2 linked regions of the Tribolium castaneum genome follow. The protein of the gene in region 1 purifies or fractionates together with the protein of each later gene. This does not show direct contact. Links are inferred from orthologs where the notes say so. Each region holds a gene or a part of one and is shown on either strand. Other genes may lie near its edges.

Region 1 (9,333 bases):
TACTTACCAACGGACGAAGAAACTACGCGAAGAGAGAAAAAGTAAGGATGGTAACAGTAAGTTTAGTTGTGTGCTAACCAAAACCATTTGTGTTTGTGCTAATTGATTTTTCATTCATTCTGTAGCTAACTTAGTCAGAGTTGGGTCAGTGGAGTCTGTTATAAGTGTTAATCGGTCATCTGAACATCCTGAATGTAAGACTTGAGTCTTGTCGTTTGTGTGTGTGGGTTTTGATTGGTTGTTTTGGCAGATGCGGACAAGTTGGGCCAATTGGGACCTTCGTTAGGGATGAAGAAGTCGTCTAGTCTTGAGTCGCTACAAACGATGGTGCAAGAAGTAAGTCACTTTTATTTATATTGTTTTACTATCATTAAATTTGAATACCCAATTTTTTCTAAACTGAATGAAAGAATGGAAATGGGTCATTTTGGAACCTATCTTACTTGTAATATATTATATACAGCTGAACTTTTAAACCTAGCTAAAGGTACAAAGGTACAAACTTTTGCAGAAGACAGACATTTGCAAATGAATTTTGCTCCAAGTCATTCTCTTACTGCTGAAAATTCATAATCAAAGTCTTCCCTAAGGATTTTAAGATTTACTAATTATGTGTTATCTCACATCTGTTTTTAAAAAATGTTAATGTTGCTCTCGAACTTCTGTACTTTAAATTATAATATCTTAAATTTTAAACTTCGGAAAAAACTTTCAACCCTTGTGCTTTCGTTTATAAATTATGGACTCATTATTATGACAAACAACAAACATCTGTCGTCTGCAAAAAATTCAAAACAATTGCTACCGCTTTATTTTTGGTTTGAAGAAGCATGATTATCATGTATCAGAAAAAAATTAAAGACCTAGGTTGGTTAAAAATTGATAAGCTTTTTTCATGTCATTTGTCTGCATTTATTTTTCGCTTATTCTTAACATCGACATCTCTCTATCTGATCATTCACATATAACATAGTTTGAACTCAATTCGGAAATAAAATTAACTAGACGCCCTCTGGTGATGACTTTTGAACTATGTTGAAAACAGTAACGAAATTTTCGTAATTCCACATTTAACTGACATTTAACGAATTGTTTAACAATTTTGCGTCTATAGTGTTATATACTTATATTAGAGAGTATCACGTACTTTTGTACGTGGTGGTAAATACTAGTTTTGATCTTGGTCTGCGGTATAAAGTGTTAATTGTTGGAATTTGAAAGTGGATAAAAAGTGAAAAAAAATTAAAATTTGATTACAAAGTGTTATTAAACAGTTGTCTAATTGCAGACTGTAAATAATGGATCACAGTGAACACAAAGTTGGGCTCAAGAAACCAATAAATTAGTAAAGTGTGTGAATTTTAGGTTAGAATTTTCCACTGACAAACTCATGAAATACTTTGGTAAGTCTACAAAACTACAATTAAGATTAACAACTGCTGATTCATTTAAGCATAAATTGTTCCAAAATGTAGGCTTTTCAATGTCTTTGTAATAATTTTCCAATAAAGAAAGTGAACTAAACAGTCATTCCTTATTCGTGTTTTCCTCGTCATCACTAATTTGTCAACATTTGTTTCTTGCACCAAAGACACAATAGTCATTCCGCATAGGCAATGCAATAATTGGGAAGCCTCAAAATTCGTACAACGCTCAAAATATCCGAATAAACATTTTCCCGCTATTTATGGTTACTGTTTTCGACCTAGTTCAGTGGCGCCCCCAACGATAATTTTACTTCCGAATAATAAGAAACTAACTCCAAAAAATTGACAGATTATGACGTAAGTTTAGTTGAGACTTTTTGTAACGAGGCTATATTTTTGACGATATTTTCCGAACGGTTAGTCGTAGCGACTTGATTTTTGCAAATTTGTATTCCGCCGGTCATTTTACGTTAGAAACACTCAATCATAAAGAAATAATTTCCAAAAATTTACATATAATGATGTAAGCTTAGTTGAGACATTTTTGTAACGAAATCATATTTTTGACGATATCTTCCGAACGGTTAGTCGTGGCGATCTGGTTCTTGCAAATTTGGATTCCGCCGGTCATTCTACGTTAGGAACACTTAATTATAAAAAAATAATTCCAAAAAATTAACAGATGATGATGTAAGTTTAGTTGACATTTTTGTAACGAGACCATATTTTTGACGATATCTGCCGAACGGTTAGTCGTAGCGATCTGATTCTTGCAAATTTGGATTCCGCCGGTCATTCTACGTTAGAAACACTCAATCATAAAGAAATAATTCTAAAAAAATTTACGTTAGAGATACAACATATACATACATGGAAATTTTTTATTCTGGAGTCAGTGTTTACAATAAAGAGTAAAACTAAAAATTTGTTTTTAATAATTAAGTTTGCTCAACTGAATTGGCTGTTTGTTGATAATAAATGCAAAAGTTTTTTTCTGATCATTTTTTGCCTCTCATCTTAAAGAATTCTTTCTAATTTCTTACTTATTAAGAGACTGACAATGGTTTTTCTTTTAGTTTTTAAGTATTTTTTCATTTCAAGATTATTTATAAAGTTTATTTTAATTTTTTATATATTTTTTATTAATTTCATTTTTTTCTTCGAGGTTAAGTTGAATAACTTCAAGCTAGACTTCGCTTTCCCATCTGTTCTTATTGTTTAAATTTATTCAATAAAGGCCCTTTTTTATTATTTTTATTGTTACTATTATTCGTATTATTATTATTATTATTATTGTTATTATTATTAATTATGCATTAATATTCTCTATAGCTTGTTTATTGGTTTACCAACAATTTAGTAATTTTTATAGTTATAGAGGACCCCAATTGTGTTACCACATTTTTTGTGGCTGCGAGCGAGAGTTGAAGTTTTTTCTTTTAATTTTTTTGAGTTTAATTCAATCTTCAATTGTGATCCAACTCTGATTTGCATTTTTTTCAGATTCAGATGCAGGAAGAGGGCGACCCGGCTTACAGCTACAGGGGCCCTTCGGGCGCCCTTAAAGTGATACGAGGACGGGGCTGTGAGGAGAGCTTTAGGGCCGCTGTGGACAAACACATCGTCGACCCGAACCACCAATCGGAAATAAGTAATTCATATCAAATTACCCTTTTGTTTTTCTAATTGGTTGATTTTCAGGCGCAAAGAAACACTGGTTGCTCGACGGCCCAATGGAAGAGCGCGAAGTTGACGGTTTTAACAACGTGAGAGGGGCCCCACGTCAATCCTCCCTTAATGCGGCCCTTGACAGTAAACACAAGGCGGGAAAAAAGAAACCGAGTTTGTTGAAAGGCATCGGTTCAATGTTCCGGTTTGGAAAACACCGGAAAATGGAATTTGCCAACATTGATATACAACACTACCATCCGACCAATGAGTTTGACCCCAATGTTAATAACAATCAACAACAAGCGGAACAGAATTACCAACAGCAACAACAACAACATGAGAATTCTACCCAGGAACAACAACAACAACAACATCAACAGCAGCAGCAACAACGTGTGCAACAAATGATGCAACAGCAGAGAGAGCCGTTGTATCAGAGGCACGGTTTTGTGCACCGACATGCTGAACAGGTCCAAGTGATTCCGGAGAATTCGGTGGCGCCACCTATCAAGTACCGGAATCACGTCACCGTTGATCAGCAAGGGCAGAGGCGGAAAATTCACGACCATAGAGTAAGACACACTTACTACCAGTCGGATGAGAGAGAGCCGATCTATGGACAACAAGTATGTAACTCTGGAGAAAAAGCAAAAAATAATAATTTTTTTAGGGGAATTTCGGGGAGTACGGTGGCAGGCCTGGCAGCCGGTCGGGAATCACCGATTCGGTCCCTTTCACCCACTACGTCAACTACAACGAGCTGCAAAACCACCTAAGGTAAGCCCCCATCAAAATAAGTCAAAGGTTATGGAAATATTGGGCCCCTCTCAGTGTCTACGTTGTGCACATTTCATTTGTTACTAACTCTGATTTGTTGCATGACATAACGTTCTGTTTTTTATGTTATGATGTTTATGTGTTGTCATTGTCATAATTGTATTTTGTCCACGCAGCCGTAAAGATCCACTATCTGACAGTCAGATAGTTCAGATGCGTCTGCAAGTTCAACAGCAAAGGTTAAAGGTGGAGGAAGAAAGGTATGCACTTTTTCCCTTTACACACTCTTGAGCTTTGCGACTAATTTTTTAAATTGCATGCACGCTTGCCGGTGATTGTGTAACGTGACTCTTGTTCCAAAAAATTAACACTTGAATAACGTCTGAAAATGTGATGCATGCAACCTAGTCCTCGAGTTTTAAGGCCAAAGGGGACCTGTTTTTACCCAACAGATGGCGCCATGTCTGATCACAAAAACATTGTTTTTCTACATCCAACGTGTTTATTAGGGTAAAGTGCACAGTTATTGAACAGTTAAGCAAAATTCTCAACTGGAAAAATCATTACCGCCTTCAGAATAAAGATATAGATAATTGCGTAATTCCAAAGTAAAGATTGAAATGTGCAGAAAATGCGAATTATTATAGAATGTTACAACCTGCATTCAATTTTTTTCCTCAGCATTTTTATTTATTAAGTGGAAAAATTATAGTTATGGACCTGTCCCGAGATGCCTTGATTTGCATGACAAAAGTAGAAGTAAAATCAAAGTTTGTTTAATTTCCAACAAAGTTCCAAATCAAATCTAATGCTTAATTAATAATTCACGTCATATAAATCATCTCGATCACGATCACTCTTAGTCATTTTGTCCTTTATCAGTTTTTTTTTCTTCTTCGTTAGTTTTATCACTTTTTGCTTCTATTTCTTCCTCATCGACATATATTAACTTATCCAGCCAACATTCACTATTGTCATCCCTATAATAGGGATGCTGTAAGTCTTGATTTTCATCATCGATAATGTGTTCCTTGTGACATCTGGGAACACAACGGTTGTGAAAGAAGTGTTCATACTTCACAAATGTTAGGAATAACCTTCCTTGTATTTCTTTTAGGCAGATTGAGCAAATAATTTTTAATTATACAGATTTCTGTTGTTTAATTTCCTCTTTCGATGTCTTTTTCAATTCGTATCTTCTTTTGTTGGTCCTTTTTTTTTTCAGAAGTTTTTGGATGGGCTAAGTAATTGTGTATTCACAGCTGACTAGATTTTTCTTGCTGTGTAATATTAGTCTCTGTATTCTTTATTCTTTCATTCCGAAGTACTATGATTTTTGGGCTTACTTCACTTTCTAATATAATGCTATTTTCTTGATCATTTGGACACCCCTGTTTAATAACTTCATTCACAAAAAGAAAAACGAAAAAGGTAACTATGCTACCTTTCTGTTGTGCTTTCAGTAGGAGTTCAAAAATAAATTTTCCTAAAATGAAAATGCGCAAAATATAAATTTTATAGTTACTGGAGATTGACTGATTGCCGTCAGTGTAAAAAATTCAAATAAAATACATGAAATAGCAAGATACAAACTTACCTTCGGTCTTAGAATTGTTGAAGACTTCGAAAAAAAATAAGATACCAAATAATACAACAGTTCCTGTGACATAGTTCAGATTATCACTTGCGTATACAGGGTGAGTCAATAGTGGGTTATTTCTGACATGTCCTAAGATGCAACCAAAAATACTAATTGCACTTCCTACTTGGATACTTTGTTTGATTTTTCAAAACATTAATTAAATCAGTATTGTTGGTTGCATATTTAAAAAATTCAGAACTAACCGACTATTGACTCAGTCTATCGATGTTTTCTTTTTTTTAACAAACATTTTATTTCCACTGGTGGTACTACAATTTATTTATATGACATGTAGATCAAACTACGTCTTTTCAAAAAAAACAATAGAAGAAATAGTTTACGCTTCATATCCTACTAATATGAGTTCAATAGCTATCCACTGTCGAATGTGTTTAAACCATTTATCTTTTGATTACAAAAGAATAGCTTCAATTAAAAAGTATTGGAAAACTGTATTTAGTTGCAGTGTGAAACAGTCTCTTTAGATCACTCTGTATTTCCGCTTTTCTTACACTCGCGGCAAATACTGTAATAATTAAATAAATATTTGTCTTTTAGATTTTAAGTTTTGTCCTCTTTGGCCTTACACTTAAAAAAAGTGTTTGTAATTTTAAATTAGTGACGTCACATTTTTTATCAGTCGAAAGCAGCACCAGTACCACTCCCAGCGCCAGACCCGCACCGACAACCAGCTTCGTCCCGTGTCGAACTTCTACGAGTACGAGAGTATCCAGTCGATGCTTAACAACCGTCGGGGGAACCCCCCGGTGCCCCATAGTAACCCGCCTGTGATGTACCAAGACGTGAACTCCAATTCCCTCCCTCGGCAAGGCCAACCACCCGTTCAAGGCCGGCACCCGAACCGTAACCACAGAGGGCCTTTTGTGACCCACGTGACTATCGGCGATAGCCAACAGAACGGGACTAAAGTGTAAAGGTGTTGAAACTGTTTTTTGTGATTTGTATCATCAGTATTATGAAACTGTTTCAGCGCCGCGTCCATTTTATCTGTATATACGAGCTTTATTTTATATTGTAAATAATTTATGATATGTATAATAAGAAAGTGAATTTTATACAAACAAGAAATACAGTTACAAAATTGTCCGTATTGCATCTTTATTTAAATAAGGTATACAATAAAGAATGGTGATATTACAATACAAATAAACACAACTTAAATGAAATTATGTAATTGAGGGAGTGGCGAGCACTCGAGAGCCAGCGCTGAGGTGTTTGGCGGGAGCTTGAAATGCAAAGTCTCCGTAGCATTCAATATAGAATTTGATATACACTTGCTCAATGTGAGCAATAATAATGAACAACATGCAGAGGCATGACTAACCTAAATCATAAACAAGCTAATTCATGATGGCAATGCGAACCGATGGGTATGGGTAACAAATGAGAAATAAATAAGTATAAAAAATCATAGTCTATAATATCACTAACAGCGAAATACGTATGGATGTCCACAAATAAAAACTCTGCACGTGTGTTCGGTCTCTAGGGAAGAACAGTAATCTGAATGTGTTTCTCAAGAGGTTACGGTGAAGAAGCTGTGAGTGTGAACATTGGTTTAGTTAACGGAAAGACTGCTGCGGCTGTACTGGAATCGGATGGGCAAGCGAACCGACTATCAACCTACACAGGTTAGCCATCATCCAGAACTTTGAGCGAATTATCACACGGGACCTCTAACAGAAATAAATAATCCTTACTCTAATTTCCTCAATAAAAAATCCAATATCTACAATTTCATACACTTGTTAGAATTACCCTATTTACAATCCCTCCACTGACCCAACTCGCCATTCACGTCAGTCGCAAACAACAGAATTTAGGCCCGAAAAAATTCGTTGACGAAACAAAAGCTGACGTAAATGCTAGTTCCCAACGACACTAACCTTCCACATTGGTCCTGTCCTGCACGACTACCACTATTCACAATTTCTCCTTAATTAGTACATCATCAGTCTCAAGGGGCAAACAATAATGCATTTGCGACGAGTATTGACAGAAACGAAACGAAACGATTCAACAGATTCTTGCGACGCGGCCTAGGAGTTACAAAATTATCATAAACAGATCACATACAATATGAAATCTATGATTAAACAGTCCAGCGTTTATGTCATTGAAGCTCTGATCACAGATTAACACGTGGTCACATGACTAGTGTAATGTCCAGCATTTTACAGTCTTCTTCTTTCTAACTCTACCATGACGTAGACTAACCCAAATAAGGCATGAACCTAGCTCGGAAAAATGCAGGCGGCCTAGTAAGCTTATCTACGGTTTATCACGCATCTGGACGCCGATAACGACTGATCGGAATCCCGATTTTTATTATTAACTCCCTGCATTTTTTCCACGATAGTCTAGTTAGTCCAGACACTGTGTTTATGATAAATAACGTTTACTTTGACATCTTAGAAATACGAAAGTGCATTGGCAGTATCTATGTTTTACTAACTAGTGGAGTGCATGGGCACTTGAGTAGGTGTGGAATTGACCACCGCCGTCGCCGCCAACGGTAACGTTGCATTCACCAAGGCCGCCGCCGGTTGGGTAGGAGGGGGCAGATGCGATAAGGGCTGAAAAATTCGACTCGGACTACTACGGCCGGAACAACAGTCCTTTAACGTCTCTCCTATAAGGGTGGCAATCTTGTCTCGATCGTCCTGGAAAAAATTAAATTGATACAAAACCGAGCGAGTTTTTACGGTTTGATTAACACAATGCGATTTTACGAAGGGGTGGGTGGATGCGCTGATAAATGGACGAGATGAAACAGATTGTCAATTATGCATAAGCAGACGGTTTTTGATGAATAGCCAATATCCTCTATAAACTATTTATTCGATGCAATACATCATTTTTCGGACAGTAATGACATCAATTCATAATAATCTGGCGTTAATACGAATATATAATCAGCTTTCGGAACGCTAAACAAAAATATCCGGTATTAGGGTTGGCTCGCATTAAAAAAAAACACTAAATACAAAATAAATTAACACGTGTCCCCTTTTCTGAAAAAGGAGATAAACACTTATTCTCTCTCCAGTGCCGTAATTGCTTCCTTTATATGAAAATTTTTGCGTTTGATTGTTTAGTCTCTTATTGTATTATAACTTATAGCAACTTTTAACTTAAAAGTGTATTTTAAGCATTTTTTGATAAACCACGTCTAAAAAAATAACGATTCTTTTATTACTGTTATCAACAATGATCAAAATACTTCAATAAAAGATATTTTATTTTAGATCACATTTTGCGGATTATTGGTTGTTTTCGTTACATTTGTAGCTAGCAAAATATGTTTACCACATTTTTGACAAAAGCGAATTTAAAGACAGACATGTTTGAACTTATATTAGTAAAATTTTCGACCTAATTAGTGATTTGTTGGCTTATTTCTATGGGAAATAATTCCATTTTAGGCTGAAAAATGCAAACACGCCAAAAAAAGTGGCACTAATGGCATTTTCGAACGATTGTAGTGACTTTTGTCCCGTTTAGCTTTAGCAAACTGATTTTACTGTTTTACTGAATGTTTGAGGACGCAGTGACAACCAGAGTTGTTTTAATTTTTGAATATTATGAAAAAATTAATAAATTAAAGTTTCTCCAAATTGTTGATCTAAAAACTTTTTGACCTAACCCTGACTTTTGGATGCATTATTTAAATATTTTTTTCAATGCAAAGGTCTTAAGAGATGCCAATATGCCACTTTTGTAACTTATCTCATCTCACCATTTGTTGAAAAGTTTGAGTCAAGTTACGTTTTAAGGAAAACTTAAATTTTTATT
Region 2 (10,827 bases), on another chromosome or scaffold:
AAAATCATTGTCAAATTCGGTCGTCACTATAATTTCGTTACTCGGCTTTGTAACGTTGAAATCGGCGCATTTTCCGCCCAATTCCACGAAAATTTTCTTCTCGTTTTGGCACCGCACCGGTTCCGTAACATCAACAAACCGTTTACTTATCAGAAACTCGAATAATTCAACCGTCTTGCAATCACACAGCCACGGATTGTGGGCCAGCCCCACAAAAAACAAATTATTCATCCCCGAGAAAATCACCGGATTAACACTCTTCAAGTTATTCTGTTGCAAAAGCAAGATGCGCAAATTTGGTAACGCGTCCAAAGCGTCATCACCAATCCGTTCAATTCGCGAATTAGCAATCGCCAAAACCTCCAAACTCTTGGACTGAATTTTGGGCATTTCGGCAAAATAATTACTCGACAAGTCCAATAGCACCATGTTCTCGTTACTCCGAATGATTTCTTCGGGGAAATAGTGCAATAAATTATCGCTGAGGTAGAGTTCTTGCAAGTTTTCAAGCTCGTCAAAGGCGTGATCGTCAATAATGCTTAAGGAGGTACTGTTTAGATAAATCTCTTTGACTTGGTCGCTTTTATCAAAGCTGAAATCGTCGATGTCGATTAATGTTATGGGGTTCCCCGAAAGGTCGATTATGACGGGGTTGTTATCCAGACTTTCGAAATAAGGCACGTACTCTAGACTTGACTGGACACAAGTTATTGAGTTTTGGGTGCAAGTACAACGGATGGGGCACCCGCCTTGGACTATGGTCACTACTTCCAAAATTAGAATTAAAAGCACAATCATTTTATCACCTGGAAAAAATTCACGATAAGGTTTTTTCACACAGCCACACGTGATAATTATTTTTTTAATCAATTCACAATCGTTTTCTTTGAAATTCAAGACAGTATTTCATTATTATAATTGAATAAATGGCTTTGTACTTACTTCAATTTTTGTGGCTTTTTCGGTGCGTTGGGAACCTAACTCGTTCCTTGAATTACGTACGATTTATCTTATCGATTCAAGTTATTGAAACTTGGATGGTGTTTACAGACTTTTAGATACCTGCGATGTTTCTAATCTTAAATGTTTACAAATCGATTTGATATATAGGTAGAAAAACGGTAAGATTTTTCTTAAAGTGGTGAGATAATATCTTTTCAGACGATAAGATATAATTTTTTCTTCTAATTGTGTTCATTATAATTAAAAGAGACGTAATTAATTAATTTAATAAGGATCACTGATTTTTTTTAATCAAACATGTTAAAAAAATCAAAATACAAAAGTAATAGCTAATAGTTAGATATTTAACAAACTAACTTGTTTAAACTTAAAGCAATAAACACTGAATTCTGTGATTACCTATCAGTTTTTGAGATTTGTTAAAAATATACTTTCATATACTGTAATAGCTTTAATGTGAAAAAAAAATTAACAAAAAAAGAAACAATTCGTCATTTAAATACAATTTTAATTGTACAATTTAATTTTTAATGAATTTTTCTTGTATTAACAGAAAATATTTCGAACAAAACGTGAGTTTAATTTTTTAACAAAACGTTTTCTGTGCATATTTATTTTTGCATATCTTGAATTTTGTCGGTGATAAAATGGCTTTCTTGTAAGGTCATTTCGCATAAATGTTGTGGTGCAGTCATTGACAAAGTTGCTCAATATTTAATGTAACTTTAAGAAAGTTGGCGTGCGACCCCCTCTTGTCTTTCAGTTGGTGGAATGTATACCTCAGTCCATTCATTGGCATGGTATTAGTAAAATTGCGTCAATAACACAGACATGCGACTTTAAATTTATACAAACTGTTGAATAAACCAACTAAAATGACAAAGAAAGTGAAATAATTATCGATAAGTGAGTGATAAGCAACGAAAAAAAAATGGATTTTTTCAACAAAAATTTAACGTGTGCCTCTTTGGATATACCATCAATCCCGGAATACCTATCAGGTAAAAATTCCAACAAACCATCCGGTCCACTTTTCCCCAAGACATTTCAAATAATAACAGGAACACACCATATTAATTACTGTACTGACCGTCATGATCCACATTTCGATTACGCAACACCCAAGAAACTGAAATTAAAACTTTTCTTTGACTTTTTTTGACTTTCACCTTGTTTTCTCTCCGGTCGTGCTACATATATCCGTTTTTTTCCTCCACATCTTCCACGTTACATAAATATTATTATGTAAAACGGGGAAAACACAAGATATCGCGAATCCGAAAAATGCAAACGTGTTGTGCAACTCTTAACCGGTCGTTTCTTTTAATAGATTTCCCCAAAATTGAGCAATCAAATATTGCACACACGCTATTCATTTACCCTTCTCCCATCCTTGACGAGTCGACCGACACGCTAAATTCAAAAATAACAATCGAGTTACTATGGAAACTGTCACTGGCAGTGCGACCAGTGGCGGGTTAATTTTTTTTTAATTAATTAAAATTTTTATTTCAGCCACAAATGTCTACGGGGTGACTCTAGTAACCCTGGGAACGTTGGCAGTTGTGTTAGTTTTAGTAATGTTCATCGATACTCTCCAATACATAATAAAAAATTCCTCGTCTCGAGTAAAAACATATTCAGCCTTCGTCATCGGTGTTTATCCGGTATATTTATACAAATGGTTTTTTTCAGACGAATAATTTTGGTTGTAGGTTGTAGCTCTAGTGACTTATTTTGCAATTTTGGTCCCTCGGGCCCACCTTTTAAGCGAAGCCATAACCCAGGGTGCTTTTATGGCAGGAATGTATCAATTATTTTGTCTTTTTGTGGCGTATTGTGGAGGCGAAGCCGAGCTAATTCGCAAAGTCAAACCCGGAAGTTTAAATTTGAGAGTAATGCCGTGTTGTTGTTGGCCTTGTTGCTTCTTTTTACCGCCGATTGAAGTCACAAAGTAAAGTTGTAATTCGATTAAAGCCAATCTTTACGATTTTTTTTTACAGGAATACAATTCAGCGGTTACGATTACTCGTTTTGCAATTACCAGTCGTTCAAGGATTGGTTTATTTGGTCCTTTTAGTGATGTGGGCCGAACGTGAGGTATTTAATCAAGAAACGCACAAACTGTTCGAACTATATTAAAAATTCCAGAGTTTGTATCAAGTCAATTACATGTACTTGCAGCCAGTGATAATAATTTCGATATTATTCGGGGTTTGGGGCATGGCGATGACAATCAACCTCCTTAAAGGCTTCCTAGGGGACGAATATTTAATGCCTTCGAAATTTATCGTCCTTCAGTTAGTCCTAGTTTTAGCAAAAATGCAAGGAGCTGCCACTAGAGGACTAGTTATGATTGATATTTTGCCGTGTCGACCACCAATAACACCGACAGTTTATGGAAATTGTAATTATTTTTTTATTGCCTCGTAATTATTACAATTTTTTCTTTTAGTAATTCATAATACACTAATGTTGGCTGAAATGGTTTTGTTGCAATTTGCGGCTAGAAAATTATACAAGAGAATTTTACCAGATTATGCAAGTGAAGGTGTTGGCACCATTAGTACCATAGGCGGTATAATGGCCTCTGACCTTATGAAAGATAATAATAACAGTAATTGTGAGAATTTGAATGTGAAGCTAGGTGTGAACAAGTGCAAAATGGGGCACTTTAACGTGGCGCTAGACATGCGAGAATAGTTTAAATAAAATGTTTTTGTTAAAATGATGTGTGTTATTAAAAAAAATAACGAAACAAAGTTTGTGACGACCTCTAGGACAGGATTTATGCGGAATAATATTTTCACAAAAATAAAAAAATGACGTATATTTGATAAACAGATAAGTACATTAAACACATATTTTTACTTCAAACAGCCATCGGCATACTCAATTTGGGATGGGGCTCGTACCCACTCAACTCAAAATCATCAAAAACAAAATCCTCAATACTGGAAACTTGTCTTTTGATTTTTAATGTTGGAAACGGCCTTGGTGTCCTCTTTAATTGTTCTTGCAACGGTTCGACATGATTCAAGTAGACATGACTGTCCCCTAACGTATGAATAAATTCCCCGGGCTAAAATAACTAACTAAAAAATTTGACGCAACTTTGAGCCAATAAAAACCTTCAATCCTGTAACATGTGCAATCATATACGTCAACAAGGAATAACTTGCAATATTGAACGGCACCCCCAGCCCCATATCAGCCGACCTTTGGTACAACAAACACGACAATTCCCCATTTGCCACAAAAAACTGCACGAGGCAGTGACAAGGCGGGAGGGCCATTTCGGGAATATCCACTGGATTCCACGCACACATTATGATTCTCCTATCGTTGGGTTTATTACGAATTGTTTCGATAACATGAGCCAATTGGTCAATCCCTTGATTGGCGTAATCCCAGTGCATCCCCTTGTACTCGGCCCCAAAGTGGCGCCACTGGAAACCATAAACCGGTCCCAGATCGCCCTCCTCGCGCTCATTGAGCCCCACAGAATCGAGAAACTCTCGTGTGCTGTTCGCATCCCAAATATGCACATTTTTCTCTTTTAATTCGTTTGCGTTCGTTGAGCCTTTGATGAACCAAAGCAACTCCTCAACGACTCCGCGCCAGAACACACGTTTCGTGGTCAACAGAGGGAAGACATTGTCGCGGAGGGAGTAGCGCATTTGGGCTCCAAAAATCGAAAAAGTGCCAACACCGGTGCGGTCACTTTTTTTTACACCCTTATCGATGATTAGTTTAATGTGGCTCAGGTATTGGTACTCTTCGTGTTCTTGCTCAAGGGGCAAACTACTGGTTTTGGTGTCGCGACACGTGTCTCCGATATTTAAGGGGTTATCAGAGATGTTTTCCTTGTTTGAGTCGTCGGTTTGGTTAGGTTTGATTGGAGAGCTAATGTGCGAATTTTGGTGGATTGTATGCGAAAATTCAATACTTACGATAACATTTTCACGGTTTAACAACACTAAACACACGGAAATTTAGAAAAAACACACACTAAACTTAGGATTTGATGCGGAACTTTCCCGCCAATTTGGACTAGTTGGCGTCGGTGCAGTAAAAAAGAATTTTTTTGGTTAGGTTTCCGCTTTAATTTTTTTTATTTTCACAAGTAATAGACAAAAAGAAAACTTACGCAAACATTTTCTCCAATTTTCCGTCACTAAACACTTGTAAACACTTGGAAAAGTTTAGGAATCAACACCAAAGCCCACGATTATTACGAGACTTTTCTTTCAATTTAAAACAAGTTGGCGGGTTTGATCAAATTAGGGATTTTTGGTCTTAGTGGTATGAAAAAATAATCAATAATCATAAATTTTCAGTCAAAGGTGAGAAATTCCACCTTTTTGACTGAAAAATCGGTGAAAAACCCGCAACTTAATAGTCTGTTAGGATTTTTCGTATTTGAGTTATCTTTTGGTTACGTTTCGATGACAATATTTCAAGAAGTTTACCGCTCAATAGACAAAAATGTGAGAAAATTGCAACTTACGCACATACTTTCCCCACTTTATCGGCACTAAACACTTGGAAAAGTCTAAAAATTGGCACAAAAAGACACAACTATTACGCGACTTTTCTTTCACTTTGAATCAAGTTGGCGGGTTTGGTGCTTTTGACCCGTTGGGTTGGTGGCAAGTGACAAGAGTAAAAAATATTTGACGTTTATAAATAAAAATAAATTGCACATTTTTGCCCCAAAACATGTAAAAAAATGCAAATTTTGAATAAACGTCGCTTTAATTTAGTTACGTAAACTCGGGGTTTGTTACCACCGTGCTTCGATTGATCAAAATGCCAAAACCTGGAATTAGGTGAGTGCGATAATTGTGTGAGGATAATTGTGAATAAAATAGTTTTTGTAGTGCAATATGGAGTTAAAAGTTTGGGTCGAGGGAATCCAACGGATAGTGTGTGGGGTGACTGAGACGACAACGTGTCAGGTACCCCCTGACGCCCCCCATTTGATAATTTCTCACACTTGTCAAATTGCAGGATGTAGTGTTTGCTTTAGCTCACGCCACGGGTAAGTCAGGCCGATTCACACTTATCGAACGGTGGAGGAACAACGAACGACAGTTGGCCCCCAATGAAAACCCCCTCAAGGTTTGTAAACCCACCCCCCAAAAAAAATTAAAAAAAATAATAAACACGCAGATTTTGATGAAATGGGGTGAGTACTCAAACGACGTCCAATTCATCCTCCAATGGAGCGAAAGCAAACCCATGACACCAACAACCAAACCAAAAACATCATCATCATCAGCTAATATCATAGTGGAATCACCACAAAAACACACCGAGAAGTCACAAGTAGGCGTTGTGAAAGGTGTACCGCATGTAAAAACACTACAAGTGCGCGAATCTCAAAATTCACCCAAAAAATCCGAATCTCCTAGTCATAGAATCCACCCACCGGCACCGCCCCCTTACCGCGATCCGCCGCCCCCCAAAAAAAATATCCTACAAGAGTCAAACAAAACACACAAATTACAGGAGTCTGTACTCTACAATGCCCAGTATAGGGAATTAATCGCGCTTATTAATTACCAGAGGGAGAAATTGTCCAATCAGCAAGCAGACCTAACAAAGGTGCCACAATTAATTTAATTAATTCTTATTAGAAATTATTTTTTTGTAGTTTGATGCCGAAATTGTGTTTTGGGAGAGTAAAGAACGGGAAAAACAAATGCAATTAGAATACATTTCGCAGGAAATTCTCGCAATGACTAATGCTACGAAATTAAATCAAGACCAGGTTTGTTTCAAATAATAAATTTTCAATAATAAAAAATTGTCCCTAGATTCAGGCATTGCATTACATTGAGGAAGAATGCGAAATAGTGAAACAGCAAGAGAAAACGCTCAAATCCGAAATAACTCTCTTGAGATCAAAGCTTGCAAATTGCGAAACTGAACTTTTGCAGTGCAAAAATAAAATTCGTTTAGTAATGGACGAGTTACAAATCGAACAAAGAGCTTTATCGCGTCGTTCTGAATCACGCAAACAAATGGAAAAAAGTCTCCTAGTCGAAATGGAGCGGTTACAGAGAGATATCGAGTTGGCAAAACAGAGCACTGAATTGCATCACCTGACTGCCGAAACGCTCAAAAAAGAAGTGAGTGGTTTTATCCCTCTGTTTGATAATTTATTGTTTTTTAGGTTGCCGCACTTGAGACGGCAATAATCGAAAAGAAAAAACAAGTGGAATTGCTTGTGACTGAAATGAAAGAGGCGAATTTACAAAGTTTGACTATAGCGCCACCTGAGGATTTACGAGCGATTTTGGAAGGTCCTAATAAGGGAAGTACCCGAAAAATGATTGGTTCGCCTCGACAATTGGAAAATGCTGTACCAACCAATAAAAACCCGCATGGAGTTTGGGTCTAATAAAATTGTAGTCATTTTGTTTAGCTTACCTCAGTCTAGGCGTGTTTGATTTTCAAGTCTGATAGTTTGTATTGACGCCATTTTAAATTATAAAAAGTGTTATTTATTGTTAGGTGATTGGATGATTTTTTACTTACACATTTTTGTTACTTTATTTTATTTTACACTGCCATATTGTGTGTAGTTGCATCACACAGGATTATGATAAAGAAATGATGTTAGATATATTTATTATTTTAAAATATTAAAATTATATTTAATTGCTATGTCGGAAATGTAAAATACACACAAAAATATTAAATTGCGTTTTTCTTCTTCTTTTTTCCCTTTAATTTAGAAATTGCAAGTTGGCGGGTTTGGAGGATTTAGGAATTTTTGGTTTTCTTTTATCAGGATTTTTCGAGGTTCCTGGTTAGGTTAACATTACCAGACACTGAGATGTTAGACATATTTATTATTTTAAAACATTCTATGAAATTATATTTAATTGCTATGTAAGAACTGTAAAATGCACACACCAATAAACTTATGTTTTCTCCTCTTTATCCTTATTATACTTTTCGAGTTCTCTTAAAAATTGCGCCTTGGGTTTCATAACATTGGGTCTATCACCTCTACACTTTGGACAATACCATTTACCTTTCGGTTTGGTGGTTAAAGTAACGCAAGAAAAGTGGAACCACTCGATTGGACACAAATCATTGTCGCACATAATCATTTCACCGTAAGAAATTTGATCACAGAGACAATAAGTGGGCTCATCGGGATCAATAATCGGCTCTTCCTCCCTTGGCGGAGATTCCTCTCTCTGTGCTTGCACTTGCTTCGATTTGCGCTTCTTCTTCTTCCCAGTCCCACTCTTCTTCGTCGAGTTGGCCGTGGACGGCACCTGGCTCCTCAAAACGTGCTCCACTGGGGCTGAATCATTATGATTCGACTCCAAGCCTGAGAAAGTGTCATGACGGGTGCGCCGCGCCCTCTTTGGAGGCCTCTCGACCAAACCCGCACTACTGCTGTTGTTATTAGGGGGCTGTTGCTCCTTGTTTTCGAGTTGAGTCGTCTCGTCTTTACCAAAATCTAGCAATCGCGTTTGACATGGTGTAAATTAAAAAAATACGAAAAGTACCTAAATTTTTGAAGTCCTGGTCCAACAAGCGCGTCTTGATCTCAATCTTGTCCAGAATTGACTGCAAGAGGTTCATTTTCTCGTCGCCCAGTTCCTGGGCTGCGATCAGGGCTTGCTGCATGCGGGCGAAGCCCCGGGCCTTTTTGGCGGGGTTATCGTTACCGATTTTTTTCCAGTTCTCGGTCTGGTATGCGGCTTCACGCACGCGGGCTGAAAGGGCGGCTTGAGGCCGGTTTTTGGATGAAAATAGCAAAGTTTACCCAAGTAACAGACGTCGAGTTCTCGCATCCTGGAGATTAGGCGTTGGAGTTCATCGGGGAGGTTCTCAACGCAATCCAAATAGTTCTCTACGTACGTGGCGGAATAAACGGCCTCGACGGACACTTGGTTCAACATGATTTTCAACGGGGAAAGTTACAAAAAGGTTAAAGGTTTACTTCAGCTTCACATATTTCAAACATAAGCCACCATTTTTGACATCAATCGCTGTTTACCGATTTTCACGGAGAAAAAAACCCCAGGACGGATACGCGCCAAACTCAATTTTTTACACGACCATTTTGTCTAAGGCCTAACTGCACCGGTTCTGCTTAATAAATAATCAAAAAAACTAAATTCTTGCCAAATTTCGTCTTTGATCTCCTAAAAAAATCACTAAATTTGTGTAATAATAAAAAAATTATCACAAATTTAACTTTTTTTTTGCACAAAAACTACTAAATTCAGCTCACCACTGCATTATTTTCAAGGTTTCAGTGCATTTTTCAGTCTGAAACTCACTTATTTTGCAAAATTCAAAATAAAAAATTATCGAATTGGGCCGCAAAAGACAATTTTTTCCATTTTCAAAGAGTTTCAGCACTTTTTCGTTAAGGAGCAAGAAAAAATTATGTTACTCTGTTATTAATTATTACCATCAACCACTTGCGGGAATCAAATGTACCACAAAAATTAATTTATATTAACTAAAGTTTAATGTTCTCTTGCATAAAATATTGATGCACAAATGCTCATACAAAGTATGAGTTTTAATAATAGGAGTTTTATTGGAACTAAAATGATTTTTATCTCCCAAGTTTTAACATGCATGTGAATAAAAAGTTAAACATGCAAAAAAGTGAGCATTCCATGTTTTAAATTTAAAAATAATGTTCCTAAACTTTAGGTCCGTTCAGTAAATATAAATTAAAAAAATGTAATTTTGGGGCTACACTCAACACCCCAGTTGTTGGCAAATAAATAGAAGAAAATAAATTTAAAAAAACAAGCATGGTCAATGTCTGCGAGATATTAGAGCTAAACCCGGCGCCTCCGCCATAAAGACACGACGAATAATTTCCAATTTCCGTCGAAATTTTCGCAACTTGTCAGTATTCCGGACAGAAGAATGTCTCTAGTAACCTTAAAAATGTCGACACAAGGCGGACGTTTCAAATAAATCAGGCTCAAGTCATAAAGAAAAATCCTTTTGTAGGAAACGTCCGATTTAATCTTTTGTGGCTTTATTGAACTTAATGAAAAGTTGCAATTAATTTCTTAAGTTTGAAACGTGACGCTTGAGCTAATTCCAGTCGGTCAGCGAAATCTGAAGTCGTAATAGCTGGTTTGCGCTAAATAAATCAAAATATTGTAACAATATAATTATGGAGGAAACGTGGGAGCAGCCAATGGTGGTGGCCCAACCCCCTCCAACACATGTAGGCGCCTTGGAAGGATAAAGAGTTTCAGCAACATCCTGAAACGCCTGTTGATCTGCAACCAGTTGTGTTAGAGGCCCAAGGAATTTTAGCAACTTGTAAGTTTCATGTTTTCGATGTTTGACCAAAAATCAATTGCCATTCGTGAAGTGAAGAATAATTAGGCGAAAAACGTGGGGAAAATAACTTGAAGAAAACGCGACAGCGTCATAAATCTTAAGTCTTTAGCAGCTTGTTTTACTTTAATTTAGTTCCCATAGAAAAATGATCGATTAAAATTAATTGAAATCCTTTGAGTGACTGTTGAATGAATTTTCTAAACAGCGTTTATTGTTACACTGTTTGAAGTTTACTCAAAATTGACCGAAAAAACCCGGAATTTAATTACTCTTTTGTTAAACTTGAATTTAAAAATAACAAAAACATAAATATGTAATGTTTAAAGACTCGTTTGCATTTTTATTAAAAAACTTCAGTAAAATATGCTGAAAATATTTTTTGTTTTCATTAAAACCATTTTTCGTGACTAATTGTGTTGACACGATTTTTATATGCAATACAAACATTACGTTTTCAAATAAAAAAACTATTTCCGAAAACAGATCATTATTTATTTGTAACAGAATGCTCCC

Evidence for each region. Proteins that work in one complex are often made in the same cells at the same time.
Region 2: the proteins of partitioning defective 3 homolog B (region 1) and RASSF8 purify together in Homo sapiens (affinity purification with mass spectrometry; 4 studies listed by BioGRID and IntAct, counting the BioPlex papers as one, with this or other methods). This does not show direct contact. The link is inferred for Tribolium castaneum from reciprocal best matches to the Homo sapiens genes PARD3 and RASSF8.

What each region holds. Positions count from the first base shown.
Region 1 is NC_087395.1:16,310,668-16,320,000, reverse strand, and holds the end of partitioning defective 3 homolog B, read left to right. Parts: coding exon 1-56; intron 57-125; coding exon 126-194; intron 195-250; coding exon 251-336; intron 337-2,930; coding exon 2,931-3,078; intron 3,079-3,128; coding exon 3,129-3,724; intron 3,725-3,768; coding exon 3,769-3,875; intron 3,876-4,051; coding exon 4,052-4,135; intron 4,136-6,157; coding exon 6,158-6,452; 3' UTR 6,453-6,624; downstream 6,625-9,333. Other genes in the region: Madm (nuclear receptor-binding protein homolog), read right to left, coding at 7,989-8,201. UniProt on the Homo sapiens protein: Adapter protein involved in asymmetrical cell division and cell polarization processes. Seems to play a central role in the formation of epithelial tight junctions. Targets the phosphatase PTEN to cell junctions.
Region 2 is NC_087402.1:346,273-357,099, reverse strand, and holds RASSF8 (ras association domain-containing protein 8), read left to right. Parts: upstream 1-5,598; 5' UTR 5,599-5,795; intron 5,796-5,846; 5' UTR 5,847-5,852; coding exon 5,853-5,924; intron 5,925-5,976; coding exon 5,977-6,087; intron 6,088-6,138; coding exon 6,139-6,573; intron 6,574-6,622; coding exon 6,623-6,739; intron 6,740-6,785; coding exon 6,786-7,100; intron 7,101-7,144; coding exon 7,145-7,372; 3' UTR 7,373-7,673; downstream 7,674-10,827. Other genes in the region: slit homolog 1 protein, read right to left, coding at 1-798; organic solute transporter alpha-like protein, read left to right, coding at 1,895-1,964, 2,479-2,630, 2,679-2,917, 2,967-3,063, 3,115-3,370, 3,419-3,666; thymidylate synthase, read right to left, coding at 3,836-4,045, 4,095-4,869, 4,917-4,924; inhibitor of growth protein 1, read right to left, coding at 7,899-8,449, 8,499-8,708, 8,759-8,894.